Elephas maximus indicus: one gene and its partner. The protein of the gene in region 1 binds, or shares a complex with, the protein of each later gene. Links are inferred from orthologs where the notes say so. Each region holds a gene or a part of one and is shown on either strand. Other genes may lie near its edges. The genes, in order: NAA50 and NAA15.

The links.
Region 2: the proteins of NAA50 (region 1) and NAA15 are in contact, whole or in part, in a cryo-EM structure (PDB 6PPL), measured with the Homo sapiens proteins. The link is inferred for Elephas maximus indicus from reciprocal best matches to the Homo sapiens genes NAA50 and NAA15. Residues at the interface, in NP_079422.1 of Homo sapiens: Arg5, His14, Asn15, Lys17, Gln18, Arg21, Leu22, Val25, Phe51, Asn52, Ile54, Ala55, Leu80, Pro82, Tyr83, Leu86; in NP_476516.1 of Homo sapiens: Pro369, Pro370, Thr371, Leu374, Ser403, Thr404, Pro405, Thr406, Leu407, Ile408, Phe411, Glu433, Ala436, Leu437, Asp438, Thr439, Ala440.

What each region holds. Positions count from the first base shown.
Region 1 is NC_064819.1:2,646,497-2,654,590, forward strand, and holds the start of NAA50 (N-alpha-acetyltransferase 50), read right to left. Parts: upstream 3,013-8,094; 5' UTR 2,714-3,012; coding exon 2,706-2,713; intron 1-2,705. UniProt on the Homo sapiens protein: N-alpha-acetyltransferase that acetylates the N-terminus of proteins that retain their initiating methionine. Has a broad substrate specificity: able to acetylate the initiator methionine of most peptides, except for those with a proline in second position.
Region 2 is NC_064823.1:3,977,787-3,985,376, reverse strand, and holds the start of NAA15 (N-alpha-acetyltransferase 15, NatA auxiliary subunit), read left to right. Parts: upstream 1-4,424; 5' UTR 4,425-4,720; coding exon 4,721-4,774; intron 4,775-7,590. UniProt on the Homo sapiens protein: Auxillary subunit of N-terminal acetyltransferase complexes which display alpha (N-terminal) acetyltransferase (NAT) activity. The NAT activity may be important for vascular, hematopoietic and neuronal growth and development.

The DNA of each region.
Region 1 (8,094 bases):
CAGTGACTATGAGTTTCCTCTAAATTTGGCCAGTTACTCGTTTTGGGGGATCTGGCCCATCAGACTAGCAGGCTCTTACACCTAAGTATCCGTTTTAAATAACAGAACAATTGCTTTGCGGGTTTATATTAATTGAAAATAGAATATGAATAATACTGTTTCGTCACATCTATTGCCAAGTTAAAACCCAAAAACCCAGTGCCGTCGAGTTGATTCCATTGCCAAGTTAGGTATCAAAAATAATGTTATACCCTAGCGAGTCTGAGATAGAGCAAAGAATTTGTATCTAAACATTCAGAATGACTTCTTAGAGTCCTCCTTTTACTAATCTGTGGCAGTCTCACGCTGGGAACTCTCTGGCCCCATTTTAATTAACAGAAGATAAATATGTCTGGCAATGAGAATACAAAAACGAATGAGACAGCACCCACACTCAAAATGCCCAGTTTACTAAGAAAAACAAATTCTCCCAACGTTATTGTGGATCATACATAAAACAGCCTAACTTCGTAGATCATGATTCAAGGGCAGCCAACATTTCCTATGCCCCTCAATTAGTTTCCTGATTAGAACTCTTTACCACGGTGTGTGAGAGACAGGTACCCCTTGCTTTTCAAAAGTTTGCTTTACGCCACTTTGCTTTTATGAAAGACCTTACTTAGCACCTGTCTTCATTCACTTAATGAAATGTGAAGACATTTTCGCTTTTCCAAAAAAAGGCGAAAAGCAGAAGCAGCGTTCTAAGTTTGTCTTGCACTGCCCAGCCACATCCAATGGAATGCCTGGTGCGGTATAAACGTACCATTCACAGCGAGATCCCATCCTCGACTTGCCGCTTGTGCATTTCTCTAAGTGTAGGGCACATCCTTCCACACGTGCGGTTAGTACAAATCCAGCTCTTCTGGGGGATCTGAACCCCAGCCCTTCAACCCAGCCCCGTGTGCCATTGCTAGCTAGGATTAAGAGGGCTCCCATCACCAGCACCACCTCAGCCTTCCAGGGTGCTTGCTGTCTTCCCAGTCTGGTGTACACGTCACTTCTGCTGTATACAGGCTGTGTATTTATTTATCACATCATTCCCGCTTTACTGCGTGTTACTGCCATTTTAGATTCTACATGTTACTAGGTACGATCTGGTAGGTTATTCTTTGGGTCTGGGAACGCTCAAAAACTTTTTCTCCATAAATTAATGAGAACTGCTCCTTTGCTTTATGCCTTTTCGGCTTATGAAAAGTTTCCTGGGAATGCTCCCCTTCTCGAGAGCTGGAAAACCTGTAATGCAGGGCCTGTGACAATTTCTTCATGATGTCCAAGCTTTAAAGATTTTATACGAGATTCCTTAGAAGACAGACATTTACAGTCATTCCTCCAACGGCTCCTGAACAGTCTGAAAAGCTCCACTAATGCAAAACACATTACAATTCTTTCACTGATTTGCTCCGAGAAAAAATAAACTCAGGCATCCCGGGAAGCTTTTCACACTTACAAACTTCTCTTTCTTCCTCTGAGGAGGGTAGAGAGGGCCAGCTCCGAAACAGCGAATCTAGACCACGTTTCCAAACAGGCACACTATTATGCAATTGGTATTTTTTAACAGCATAAAACTTAATGGAGGAGACATTTTATCCAACGAGAGAAAGTGGAGAACCAAAATAACCCTGAGTTTTATCTGAGAGAGAAAAACTGTAGAAGGACAGGAACGGAAAACACATCAGCTTGGCCAACCACCTGAAGAGCGCACCATAACCCAGGACCCCCCCTCCCCCGCAGAGGCCAAAGTGAACTCCTGAAGCAACAGCCCAGGACCCCCCCAGCGGGGGCCACAGTGAACCCCCAGCAGAGACCACAGTGAACGCCTGAAGGAACCCAGGACCCCACCCCGCACGGCCCACAGCGAACTCCTGAAGCAACAGCCCAGGACCCCCACCCCCAAGCAGGGGCCACAGTGAACTCCTGAAGCAACAGCCCAGGACCCCCCCCCCCGCCAAGCACGGGCCACAGTGAACCCCCAGCAGGGACCACAGTGAACTCCTGAAGGAACAACCCAGAACCCCCCCCACAGCAGGGACCACAGTGAACTCCTGAAGCCACAGCCCAGGACCCCCCCCCCCAGCAAGGGCCACAGTGAACTCCTGAAGCAACAGCCCAGGACCCCCCCCAGCAGGGGCCACAGTGAACCCCCAGCAGGGACCGCAGTGGACTCCTGAAGCCACAGCCCCACCTGCTGGCCAACCCCGCTTCCTGAAGCACCTCTGCACCCCAAGTCTGCCCGGCTTGCGCGCCTCCCCCGCCTCCCCTCGCGCTGACCCAGCCCAAATCCAGTTGAGTCACCAGGTCTTCATTCTCGCCTCCACGCTTCTTACTCCCATGCCCCCTCCCTCCAGAAGGTTCTGCGCGCCTCTCAGGTGCGGATAAACGCACGAGGTGTCCGGGACCAGCCCGGATACGGAGGACGATCCACCAGCCACCTGGATCGGCGCGTCCGGCCCAGCCCGGCGGCTCGGCAGTCCGCTCCGGGTGAGGGGGCCGCGGCGCCCCACGACCCCTTCTCCCTGCTGCCCCGCCAAGCCACACTCGTCCTCCGGGCCGAGGGCCTGGGCCCCCGCGGCTTCCCCCGCCGACTCCCGAGCCCGCCAACACGGAGAACCTTGCCTCCGCCCCCCGGCGGCGCCCCGAGGCCCGGCCTCCGCCGCTACCTTCCTCACCCTTTCATCTTCCCCGCCTGCTGAGGCCGTCGTTACCGCCGACGCCAACACCGCCGCCGTCGCCGCCGCCCTGAGCTCTCCGCGCCCTCGGCTCGGCCACTCAAGCCCACCAGCCTGCCTCCTCGCCTGAGGCAGGGAGCTGAGCGGGTGACGGAGGCCGCGAGAGGCGACCGCGGCCCTGGGTCTGCCGCCGCCGCCGCGCCGGGCCGCTGCTCCTCCGCACGTGCACACCGGGCGCTCGGCTCCAGCCCGCCGCCGCCAGCCAGACCCGCCGTCGCGCCGTGACCTTTCACCCCGCCCCTCGGCGCGCAGGCGCGCTCACAGCCCTCGCGCAGGCGCGCTCACCGCCTCGCGCGCAGCCGCACCGCGCGCCGCCGCGCACCCAGAACCCCTCGCGGGCCCTCCATCTTTCGACTGGGCTACGCCTTCTTACGTCATTCTCCCCCGCCCACTCCTTACGCCGCTCTTTGTGGGCTTGGCCTGTAGGCCCGGGCGGTCAAATCCAGATTTTTCCACCTCTCCCTCGCCTCTCCCGCTTCCACAAGCTCGCTCTTCCCCGACCCTGTTCTCAATGGGTAGTCTCCGGAGTGACCTTCAAATGCCCCTGTCTCCTAATGGGATTTTATCAGGCGGTTCTAATAAATGTAAAGAAGTCCGTGGGGAAGCTTAAGTAAATGAGGCGCTTGTAAAACAAGGAAACGTAATTAACAAGCGGCCAGATAACTTGGCATCCACCCAGCACTCTCGTTTCGAAATCACGTGATTGGCTCAAACCTCGCGGCCTGGGATTTTACCGGCGGGCCCCAGAAGGACGGAACTCCATCGCCATTTCCGGTCCCGAGATCGTGGCGTGACGTCACTTCCTTGGCAATGCCCTTTAACCCGTGCCACCCAGGCTTCCGCCTTTGCACTTACAACACGATATTACTGAAAATTTTTGTTTATTATTATTTTTTTTAATCGCAAGAAAAGTCACATTCAAACAATCTGCAAAAATACAGGCCTCCGAGCTGCGGCGCTCGCGGGTGGGGGCGACGGGGCGGGGCTTGGGTCACGTGACGGGCTAGCCCCGCCCCGCTCTGCAGCTGAAGACTTCCCCTCCCGCAGTGACAGAGCCCGCGGGTCGGTGGTCGGCACTGGTCTGTGCGCCTCGGGCCCGGCAGGTGAGTGGTGACGGGTAACGGGCGACTAGGTGGGAAGGAAGGAGGGAGAAGGGGAGCGCGAACGGCAGCCTTCGGTGCCCGGGGCTTTTTTCCGCGCTGTCACCCCTGCTCCGCCAGCTCTCCTGATCCCCTCTGTCCACTGTGGCCGCCCCCACTACCTGGGGTTGCCATGTCCACCTTGCCCGGGGTTGAGGATGAGGGCAGCCTTAGGGTTTCTTATCGGGAGTCCTCGAGGCTTCTGGCACTGGGATTGCTTCAGCCGTTCTTCGGGGTCTGCTGTAGCCGCCGCGGGTCCCAGGACCCAAAACCCAGCATTGGGCGAAGGTCTTGAATCGGCTTTACCCTCAGCTGGCTAAGAGAGGAAGTAGGAGAAGCCCTGGAGGCAGAGGCGTCTCCGGTGAGACCGGCTTGGGAGGGGATGTCACTGGTATGGCTCTCAACTGCGGAGTCACTGAAGACCCTGCCTTTTGAATGTGATTTCTCTGTAATTTTGAGGCTTTTATCTGCCATCCCTGCGGGAGAGGTTCTATAGGTTTTCACGTGCTTTGGGTGGGACTGGAAGGATAAAAGCAAGTTTTGATCTTTCTCTTCTCTGATTTTATGGTGCAGGTAGGGAGGGAGGACGGTTAAAAAAAAAGATACATTAGTTTCAAAACAGGAGCCCTGGTGGCGCAGTGGTTAAGTGCTCGGCTGTTAACCGAAAGCCCTGCTGCAGCTCAAACCCACCAGCCCCTTAGCAGGAGCAAGATGTGATATTTAGTCTGCTTCCGTAAAGATGTACAGCCTTGGAAATCCTCCGGGGCGGTTGTACCCTGTCCTGTAGGGTTGCTGTGAGCCGGTATCGACCGGACCGGTAATGGGTAGCCTCAAAAGGAGATGATGGTAATGCGGCAGTCTCAATTGAACGGAGAAGTGTTGAAAGATGGTGTTGCAACGTCGTGGTGTGTAGGAAGCTCACGCCAGCCTATGGGAAAAGGTTTCCCTGGAAGGGGAACCTTCCGAAACTGGTGGGGCTGAAAATGGAATATAATTAAACCAAGCTTATTTGACTGTGGACTTAAAGGTAGGAAGGTTAAGTCAAGATGTTGCTGACTGCGTTTTACTTGCCTTTTGACATCTTTCTCTTTTGTCATTTGTCCCTGAAATTCTGTATAATTGCTACTCCTCATCAATTCCTTGACCAGTGTTGTGGTCATTTTAATGAAGTAACCCTTGTATCCTTTCTTAGCTTTCCCCATATGTACAACTCGAGGTGACCTGGTCAGGTTTTAATAATGGTATTTTGTGAAAATACAGGAATTGTTTTGCCTAGGTGTTTGCCCAACCAGCGTACTCCCATTTCACATGGAATGTCGTAGGCAATGTTTTGTCCCCAAACACTGTGCTTCAGGGAACAGTGCTTTTCAGTTTGAGGTTAAAAGCCTTTATTTGTCCTGCAAACTCAGAAAGCGCCTTGGTCCTTTTAAATCGACAGGCCTTCGGAAAACTACAAGTTTAATTTTTTTTAACTGACACTGTTTCTTTGTCTGAAAAATCCATATTCTCAGTTAAATCCGGTAGCTTTCAAACCAATGTAAGTGACTCAAAGGACAGCTGAAAAGTGAGGAGGGGCAGAGTCCTTGTGTGGTGGATGTGACTGACCCGATTTTTGTTTTTCTGTAACTTCCAAGTTCTCTGCCATAAACTGGTCTTATTTTGTTAAGAGCAACAAAAAGTTAATTAAAATTTTTGAATAATAGCAATTTCATAAAATGTTGTTAGAGTAAGTTCAAAATAGAAAAGCTCCTTACTAGAAAACATAACCTTGAAGATCTTACTTTTTTCTCCTGGTTAAGGAGCCCTGGTGGTGCAGTGGTTAGGCACTCAGGCTAGCCACCAGCCTGGTTAGCCACCAGGGCTCCTGCATAAAGATGACGGCCCTGGAAACCTTACTCTGTCCTGTAGGGTCACAATGAGTCAGAATTTGACTCTATAGCACCAGATTTTCTCCAAGTTATAAAGAAGACCTCTGTTGTCCCTTGGGTATATACAATTCTAGCATTTTGTAGTTGGCACCTGTATTGGACAATAGCATTTGTCTACTGATATGCTTAGGTAGCTGTGCCTGCTGTTTACACTCAATTAATCTCTGTGGTGGTTAGTGGCCATCAAGCCTGTTCTGACTCATGGCGACCCATGCGTGCAGAGTAGAATTGCTCCATAGGGTTTTCAAGGCTGTGACCACTCAGAAGCAGATTGCCAGGGACTCCTAGCCATGCTTGCTACCAGTGTATAGTTTTATCCGTTAATTTCTTGCAGATTGAGACTTCCCTGATCTGTAGAGGACAGAAAAGAATAAAGTGTTACTTTATTGCTCAGGTGACATTCCACCAAGTGAAGAGAATTCCTTAGGTGGTCTGGAAGGTTCAAACCAGTCCTGTCTGGATGAGTCCAAAACGGGAGAGAGAAAATCAGCTAAAACCTTTGAGTACTAGAGGAAGAAAATGTATCAATATGAAAGAGGTTGAATGAGTCTGCAATTTTACTTCACAATTCCCCAAATTTTAGGGAACTTATGAAAGTAATGGAGCCCTAGTGGCACAGTGATTAAGTGCTTGGCTGCTAATCTAAATGTCAGCAGTTCGAACCCACCAGCTACTCAGCAGGAGAAAAGATGTGGCAATCTGCTTCCATAAAGATTACAGCCTTGGAAACCCTATGGGGCAGCTCTACTCTGTCCTGTAGGGTTGTTATGAGTTGGAATCAACTTGACGGCAATAGGTTTCATTTTTTGGTTTTATGAAAGCAGTAATATAAACCACTAAAGAACCTGGGGAGTAGCAGTGGGAATCGGTGAGTAAGTTGTTGCTAAGGTTGAATGTGAAAAAGAGTTTTTGACGTACACAGTTGACGCACACACACAAACATACTAGTCATTTGGAGCTTGGAAGACATTTCTGAGGCTTAGCTTGTGAGTGTTACACACAGAAATCTTCACGTTCATTAGAAACGGGAATTGTGCTGCAGTCTGACATTAAATGGCACACAGGAGTTTAATAACTCTTGTGGTCTTACTCTGAAGTCTGGAATTTCACTGTCTTTGGGAATTACCACCACCAAGAATGCTGTTCCCACCCCCGTGGGCAGAGCTATTCACTAAGCCCTATAGACTGCTATGTAGTGTTTTCTGTTCCTCTATAATAGCTTAACTGGGCCGTTCCTCACTAAACCATAAAGCGCCTAAGTGTTCCAGGATAGTGTCTTTACTTTTGTGACTTTAGCACCAGAATGCTAACGTACCTGATCAAAAAAAAAAAGAAAAGCTAAACCTGTTGCCCTTGAGTCGATTTTGACTCCTGGTAGGTAACTACTTGTATGTCAGAGGAGAACTGCACTCCATAGGGTTTTCAGCAGCTGGAAGTAAATTGTTAGGCCTTTCCTCTCAATGCGGCTGGGTGGATTTGAACCATGGACCTTTTAGTTAGTAGCCCAGGGCAAACCATTGGCGCCACCCAGGGACCTGACAGGTACTCAGTGAATTGTTCATTGAACGAGTGTTGGAGAGTTGGACAAGGAGATTAAACCATTTTAGCACTTGGCAGATCATAGCTCCTTCTAAGATTGTACAGTAGGTAATTAGCCTTCAAATAAAAATTAGTAATAATGATCAATCCTCAAATGGACTTTATTCATGCAGTGACGAATTTTCTTGTTTTGACACCATATATGTTTATTAATATAGGTGGTTATCATCCAGGTATGGGAAGGAAGGGAAGAGGACTGAGTTGGACTCAATGAAGAAAGTGACTCTGAACATGGTACAAGTGTTCTAATACTTGCCTAGAAGATAATCTTCACTCAGCTTTAGTTACAGGTCCTTTTAAGTGAAGTTGGGGGTGAGGCCCTACTTCTCAAGGGTATTGTGAGTTCAAGACAGACCTCTTATAATCTGTGTGAAACTAAGTTCTGCAAATATAAAGCAACAGTGTGCAGACTTTACCAGAATGGATTTCCCAGCGGGATAGACCTGGGTTCAGTTTCTGGCCCTACCACTTATTAGCTATATGATCCTGGACGGTTAGCTTAAGGTTAAGTTTCCTCATGTGTAAAATCTACCCCAGAGGGCCAGTAAATAAGATCATGAATGGAGGATGCTTAGTATATAACTTTGTAAAAAAAAAAAATTTAACTTTTTACGGTTAGCTTGTTTTTTATACTCAATTTCTAAATGAGATTTGAGGCATTCT
Region 2 (7,590 bases), on another chromosome or scaffold:
CCTTTTTACACCATCCTTCATGAGCTTGTCCTAACAAAGCTTTCGCTATTATCCAACAAGTTGAAACAAAAGCCGTGGTTACTCAGAGTACACAGAACGAGAAAGCAAATTACTAATTTCAGTACTGCTGTTGGTAAAGACTGTTTTGTTCTTTTTTAGAGCTTTGGTCCCTATATCCTTTTACTAGTGTATATTTTTGGAAAGTGATGAAGTATGACTGCCTTTCTCTCAGCATGTTAGAGCTGATGGAACCCTACACTTGGAGCAGGCAGCTGTACATGACACTCCATCTTGAAAAGAGTCCTAATGAAGCAATTCCAGTCAGGAACTAATAGCTGTATTTTGGCAGAAGTTGCTTCATGACATTTGTTTAAACATCTCTAGGATTTGAATGTTATAACCTTATTTATGACCTAGGCAAAGGCAGAGAGCATTGAGTTAAAAAAAATTTTTTTTGTTTTTTTTTTTGCAGCTAGAAAACCCAAGTTTAGTCCCTATTTTTCTGCTGGGAAACATCCTACTCGGCTCACACTTCCCAGGGAGAGTTTTAAAGGGCAAGAATTGAAAACAGTACCACATGCAGAGTTAAAAAAAAAAAAAGTACAAAACCACTATATACATTGTTTATTGATTTATGATTCATGAAACTAATACAGATCAAAATCAGGCTCTGAGAAGTATGGAGCTCCCAATGTATATACAACTAAAAAAAAGATGAAGTAATAGCGAAATGTTAATATTTGTTAAATCCTACTGGCAAATACATTTCTTTGACATTGTTTTTCTCTAAAATTTAAATAATTAGGCCGTAAAAGTGTCAACTGAGAGCATCTTACATATATGAAGGTTTTTCTTCAGTGGAAAAGTTATACACTGTGTATTAATTTTGTAGAATTAAAGCTTGCAAGGTAAATGATTTTTTTATTTGGAAGAGGCATTTTGACCATAAAACCTGCTGCCATCAAGTCAATTCCGACTCATAGTCATAGTGACCCTAAAGGATAGAGGAGAACTGCCCTGTAGGGTTTCCAAGGAGTAGCTAGTGGATACAACTGCCAACCTTTTGGTTAACTGCTGAGCTCTTAACCACTGTGCCACCAGGGCTCTGGGATTTTGACAAGAGTGATATGCAAATACACGGGGTGGGATGAAAGAACTAATCATTTGGCCTTGGATATGTTAACTTCCTACATAATATCATTCACAGCATAACTCAAGTTAAATGGGATTTCCATTTGTCAAACAGTGGTGATCAGAGTAGATATTTATTGTTGATTGCAGGCTATCAAGTCACTAGACTGTGTGGTCAGGCTGAGATTATCTGTGGGCGCATTTTAACTAGAATATGAATCAGATAAATGTTGAACCAGATTAGCATTCTAATCTGGTCCTAAAAATTGCTATTATCATCCAAAAAGAATAACATTTGCCAAACTGTATTACTGACTCATCTATTCAGGTACTCAACTTCTGGTAGAAACTACAGTTTGTTTCAAAGGCCAGGAATTCTCTCCCTACAAAGGGGAAAATATTATACAGGAGAAATTTCAAAAAACATAGCAAGTAATATTGGTGTAAGAATTTTTGGATATGAAGCCAGAGATTTGGAAACCCAAATTAGTAGCTAAGCTAAAATTATCACCTGTAGTTGAAACATTTTTCTAACTTATAATAATTCAGATACATTTGACTGAAAGTTCTCTTGGGGGCAGTGAAGTTTGCAGCTTATCACTAAATTGGTGTTGTGTGTCATCTATTCAATTCAATAGCGGCCCTATATAACAAGAGTACAACTGACCCGCAGGGTTTCCTATGCTGTTACCTTTATGGGAGCAGATCGCCAGGTCTTTTCTCCCACCAGAGTGAACCGCTGACCTTTCAGTTTACAGCCAAGTGCTTAACCATTGAGCGACCAGGGCTCTTTATCACTTAATAAATGCCAGGACAAGATGGGACATGGGAGGGAGAGGAGCCAAGAAAAGGAAACAGGGAAAGAGGGGCTTCCAAGGAGCTGCCAGAGCAGTTGTTGTTCGTTGCCAGCTAGTTGATTCTAACTCATGGCAATCCCATGTGTGCAGAGTGGAATGGCTCCATAGGGTTTTCAAGGCTGTGACTTTTGGGAGCACATCACCAGGTTTGTCTTCCAAGGCACCTCTGGGTGGGTTTAAACTGCCAATCTTTTGGTTAGCAGTTGAGCATTTAACTGTATGTGCCACACTCAGGCTCCTACAGACCAGTTAGTGACTACTTCGTTCCCCCATAAGAGCCCCCAGCATAATGCAACCCCTTCCTCAACCCCATCAAAGTGAACTGGAGCTCACAACTCAAGAGCCCAGAACAAAAAATAAAAAAAGTTGAGGGTAAATATGTATAGTATGATTCCATTTATGTAAAAAAAAAAAAAATCCTCAGAACAAAACACAAACTGGCCATATTCTAAAACTCAAACATGGTTTGTGTAGATTTAATCTTCTTAATGAAACTTTTGAAGAGAAATGACAAAATTCAGAGAAATCCCACGATTTGAATGTTAAAATCCTATGACCCAGGCAAAGGGAGAGGGCATTTGAGATAGCAGCTAGAAAACCCAAGTTTTAGTCCCATATTCTTACTCAACTCACACCTTCAAGGGAAGATTAGAGCAAATTGAAAATCCAAACCAAACCCGTTGCAGACGAGTGGATTCCAACTCAGCGACCCTAGAGGACAGAGCAGAACTGCCTAATAGGGTTTCCAAGGAACGGCTGGTGGATTCGAACCACCAAACTGATCACCATTTAGTTAGCAGCTCAGCTCTTAATCACTGCGCCACCAGGACTCCAAGGTTAAAACCCAAAACACCAAACCCGTTGCCGTCAAGTTGATTCGGACTCATAGCGACCCTATGGGGCAAAGTAGAACTGCCCCATAAAGTTCCTAAAGAGCACCTGGTGGATTCAAACTACCCACCTTTTGGCTAGCAGCCATACCACATAACCACTATACCACCAGGGTTCCCAAGTTGAAAACAGGTCTATGTAAATAAATAAAAGGCAAAACCACTACATGTATTTTTCATTGTCTTGATGCAAAGAAAGCTATAGATCAAATTCAGGATTTGGAAAAAGATAATCAAAAGCCAAGGGTAAAAATGATGTGAAAAAAATGGAAATAACCAAAGAAATGCCACTTTGATCAATATTTTACTGCCAGTTGTTCATGAAATGGCATCTACACATTGCTTATATAGAATCAATAAAAGGGATCCTATTCAGTATCTAATCTGACCTCGTTAATACTGGTGGCGTAGTGGTTAAGACTTAAGGCTGCTAACCAAAAAGTTAGCAGGTCAAATCCACCAGGTAGGTGCTCCTTGTAAACCTTATGGGAGCAGTTTTTTTCAGTATCTAATCTGACCTCGTTAATACTGGTGGCGTAGTGGTTAAGACTTAAGGCTGCTAACCAAAAAGTTAGCAGGTCAAATCCACCAGGTAGGTGCTCCTTGTAAACCTTATGGGAGCAGTTCCACTCTATGCTGTTTGAATTGACTCCATGGCAAGGGGGTTGTTTTTTTGTTTGTTTGCTTTAGTCTGACCTTGCCCCTGCAGTTCTGCTCTCTAGTATCCTTGCCAGATACTCATCAGGATTCTGGTGGTGAGGAGTTCAACTCGGCACTAGCTTGAGGCCAGCCAGTTCCAGAGGAGTCAATGTCGCTGAGCTCTCTACTACCCAAAGTACCGCATACAGTCCGCCAACACTGCACTGTATGGCCTCAACGTGCAATAAAAACACCTGCTATCAACTTCAAGATCGCTGAGTCGGAGTCGACTCGAGGGCAACGGGTTTGATTTTTTTGGTTTTTAACGTTCAGAAGCTCCTTTGAAAGAGCAAATATGGCACGTAGGATCTGGCTAACTACCTCTCTAGGCTCATCTTAAGCAATATTCGCCAAATCAACCATACTCATTTAATCAGTCAAGCTCTTTCACACCCTTCAGACTCTACTTAAGCCCCTTTCCCTTGACATCTGTTCACAAGTCCCACTGCGTTGACGCCTTCTCCATTTCCCCTCCGTCCGTGCTCCTTAAATATGCACTTTCACGTCCACAGCTCTTCTTAAACACCTGCGTTTTAGCTAGCACTTACGGCTCACATTCGGATCCCACAGTCTGGGAGAGTCTACCTAACGAATGAGAGGCCAACCTAGTGCAGAATGGCTATTTTTCATGTGAAGGCGGTCGCAACCGGAGTTAGCCCCTGCCCTTCTCTCCCCCGGCTCGTCCGGACATTCGGCACCAACAGGACGTGCTGAGCCCGCGGCGACCCTCGGGCCCCCCGCCCTCAGGCCGGCGTCCAGGTTTCCCGGCAAGCTCCAGGGCAGAAGAGGTGGGGCAAGGAGGTCATCGCGCCTGCGTGCTAGGAGGCGTGACCCGGGTGGGAAAGCCCTCTGCGTCCGCCATTTTGGCTGCCTCTGTCGGTCTGTTCAGTTACCACGTGAACCGCCGACAGAGACCCGTGGGGCGGGGGGAGGCGGCAGCAGCGTTAAGTGAGAAAAGGAAAAAGACAGCGACGGGAAAGGGGTGTCCGGTTAGGGCGACGTGGCGATACCCAAGGCTTAGGGGCGGCGGCGGATCGTGGTATTCTAGGCTGAAGCAACCAAGGAACGGCGGCGGCGGCGGCGGTCGGACAAACAGCCTGACCGAGCCGGGTGGTGGCGGGAGCAGCGGGAGGAGCCGGAACGATGCCGGCCGTGAGCCTCCCGCCCAAGGAGAACGCGCTCTTCAAGCGGATCTTGGTAAGTGCGAGGCTCCGGACAAGCAGTGGGTAGGGTTTAGCTCGAACCCGGCCCTGTCACTCCTAACATCGGCCCGGCGGGCACCGAGCCACCCCGTCGGGACTCCGCCTTCGGACTCCTAGTCCGACCGAAGGCACTCCCTCGTTGCCTCCCTCTGGATCCCACTTGGGCCCCCGCGCTGGCACCACAGGCTACCCTGTCGTCCCTTCGCTTCGGGGGCCCTGGTTCTAGACTAGGCCCGACCTACCGGCTTCTAGAGTGCCGGCTTTCCTCGGCTGCGGGCGCAGATCGGCGCCGCCCGGCCTGGAGCTGGGCAGCGGGCGGCACGGACAGGAGCCGCGGCCCGGGTGGTGCGGGAGCCCTGCCACCAGGCCGGGGCATCCGTGGAAGGAACAGGTGGCGCCGACGCAGCGCGGCTCATTCATTGCCTAAGCGCGGCGCTCCCTGGGTCGTCCCTCCCTCCCTCTTCCCTTCTCTTGGGATTCACCTGTCCCCGCCCGGCCGGGTCACTGAACGAGGTGTGAGGGGAGGAAGGAGTCCAGCGGAGGAGGGGAAGACTCGCGAATGACTGCCTCCAGCAGTTGGTTGCACACTTCAGACTGCTGCTCCTTGGCCTGTCTTGTTCCCTCCTTTCTGGAGTAAGGGAAGAGCATTTATTTCTTAGTTTCCGAGCGGGAAACAGCCGCACCCCATCACCCCTCGGGAGGTGGGGCCCATCGCGAGGGGGCGGTCCGGTAGGAAGTAAAAAGTTATCAGTCTTTAGTACTAGACACAGACTTTTCAAGTGTGTAACGCTGGGGAGAAAACTTAGCATCAGAGAAAAGAGAATGTGAGAACTTTTGCGATGGAGCTTGTTTAGTTAGGCTAGCTCAAACATATTTCCTACCTTTCTAACATGTTCAGTTTGCCTTTTTAAAAAAACCTTTAACGCAATGATGTTTGGAGGACTGTTAACATTGTCGTGTGGCCTGTAGCCTTGGCGCTATAATTAATACATTGTAGCATGTTTTTTGGCATTTTAGCGTGTGGGTTGCCCTTTTCATGCAAACATTTTTTTAATGAAAGAATTAACTGTATTTGCGCAGCTTAAGACTTAAAATTTGGGGCGTGTGTTATAGAAGTGTTAGTTTTCTCTCCTATAATTAGAATTTATTTTATTTGTTTGAAAAAAATGGAAGTACTTTGGGGATTCAGTTTTCCTACAAATAAAAAAGTGATCTATGTCGAACTTTGTTATTACAAAAATATCCATGTGCCCAATATATCTAGTTAATTCATGTTGAAAAACATGAGCAAGTCATGTCTAAAACTGTGTAACTCTTGATTAACTTGAAATCCTTATTTTTTCTTTTAGGACTAAGTGGAGTGTAGGTGGAACTGTTGCATAGTTTTACAACATCAGTTTATTTACTTTTAAACATTTTAAAAGACTAATTGACTAATTGGTGTGTAGGACTATTTAGGATAGCTTTAGGAATTTTTAGGATAGCAATTTATCTTTAATCTCCTCCAACTCTTTATATTGAAAAAATTCAAACTGAAAAAGGAAGAGTGCAAGGAACACTCATAAGTCTTTTACCTAAGTTTAATAAACATTTTGCCATATATGCTTTCTTTCCTTATATATGTAAAACATATAAGGTGCAGACATAATACTTCATCCCATAATATTTTAGCAAACTTCTCCTAAGAAGGACATTTTCCTGTTTAACTGTAGTACCATTAACAATTATTCCCTGTATTGCCTAATATCCAGTTGGTATTCAGATTTTCACATTTGTTTGGGTAGCACTTTTTTAAAATAAAACTATTGCAATAGTTGTACATTCATACATAGTCATAAGAAATAATATCTTTTAATCTTTACCCAATTCCCCCCAATACTGATGCCTTCCAAAACCGTAGTTCAATGTCACAACATTGATACAATCTACCAAATCTTATTCAGATTTCCCCAATTTTACTTGTGCTCATTTGTGTGTATTTAGTTTTGTGCAGTGTTATCACATGTAGATTCTATACCCACCACTGCCACAATCAAGATACATATAACAGTTCATTCGGCTCAAGAATCCCTGTGTTGCCTTTTTAGAACCACAACCACCTCCCTCCCACTCCCTTTGCCCCTCAACCTCTGGCATCCACTAATCTGTTCTCTATTTCTATAATTTTGTCATTTTAAGAATGTTTAATAAAAGGAATCATACAGTATATAACTTTTTGGAATTAGCCTTTTTTTATTCAACACAATTGCCTTGCACTTCACCCAGGTCGTTGTCAGTATTGATAGTTTATTCCTTTTTATTGCTGATTAGTAGTCTCTGATATGGATGTACCACAGTTTGTTTAACCAGTCATAGGGTAGCAAGTTTTGATTAAGCATCTAAAGCAATAATTTTAGTTGTGAAGGAGGGTAAAAGCTTTAAATTCCTTGCTAAAATCAAAGTGCTAAAAAATTTATTGTGATAAAAAAAATTTATTGTGATAAGGCATATGCAAAAGATAAAGAAGTTCTGAGAAATTTGAAAATCAGTAAATGAAGAAAGGGGAATATAATGTCCTTATTGATCTCTTACATTAGAAATGAAGAAAATGTTACTAACCGAAAGGATAGTTAGCATTTGCTTTTCTGAAAGCTTCTGCTTCGTCAGCTTTTATAGTAATTTGTTATGTTTTTAAGCTCCCCCCCGCCCAATAATCAGAAAAACTGGACATACCCTGTTGTTTGTTGTTGTTAGGTGCCATCAAGTCGGTTCCGACTCATAGCGACCAGAGCTCTGTACGACAGAACAAAACACTGCCCGGTCCTGTGCCAT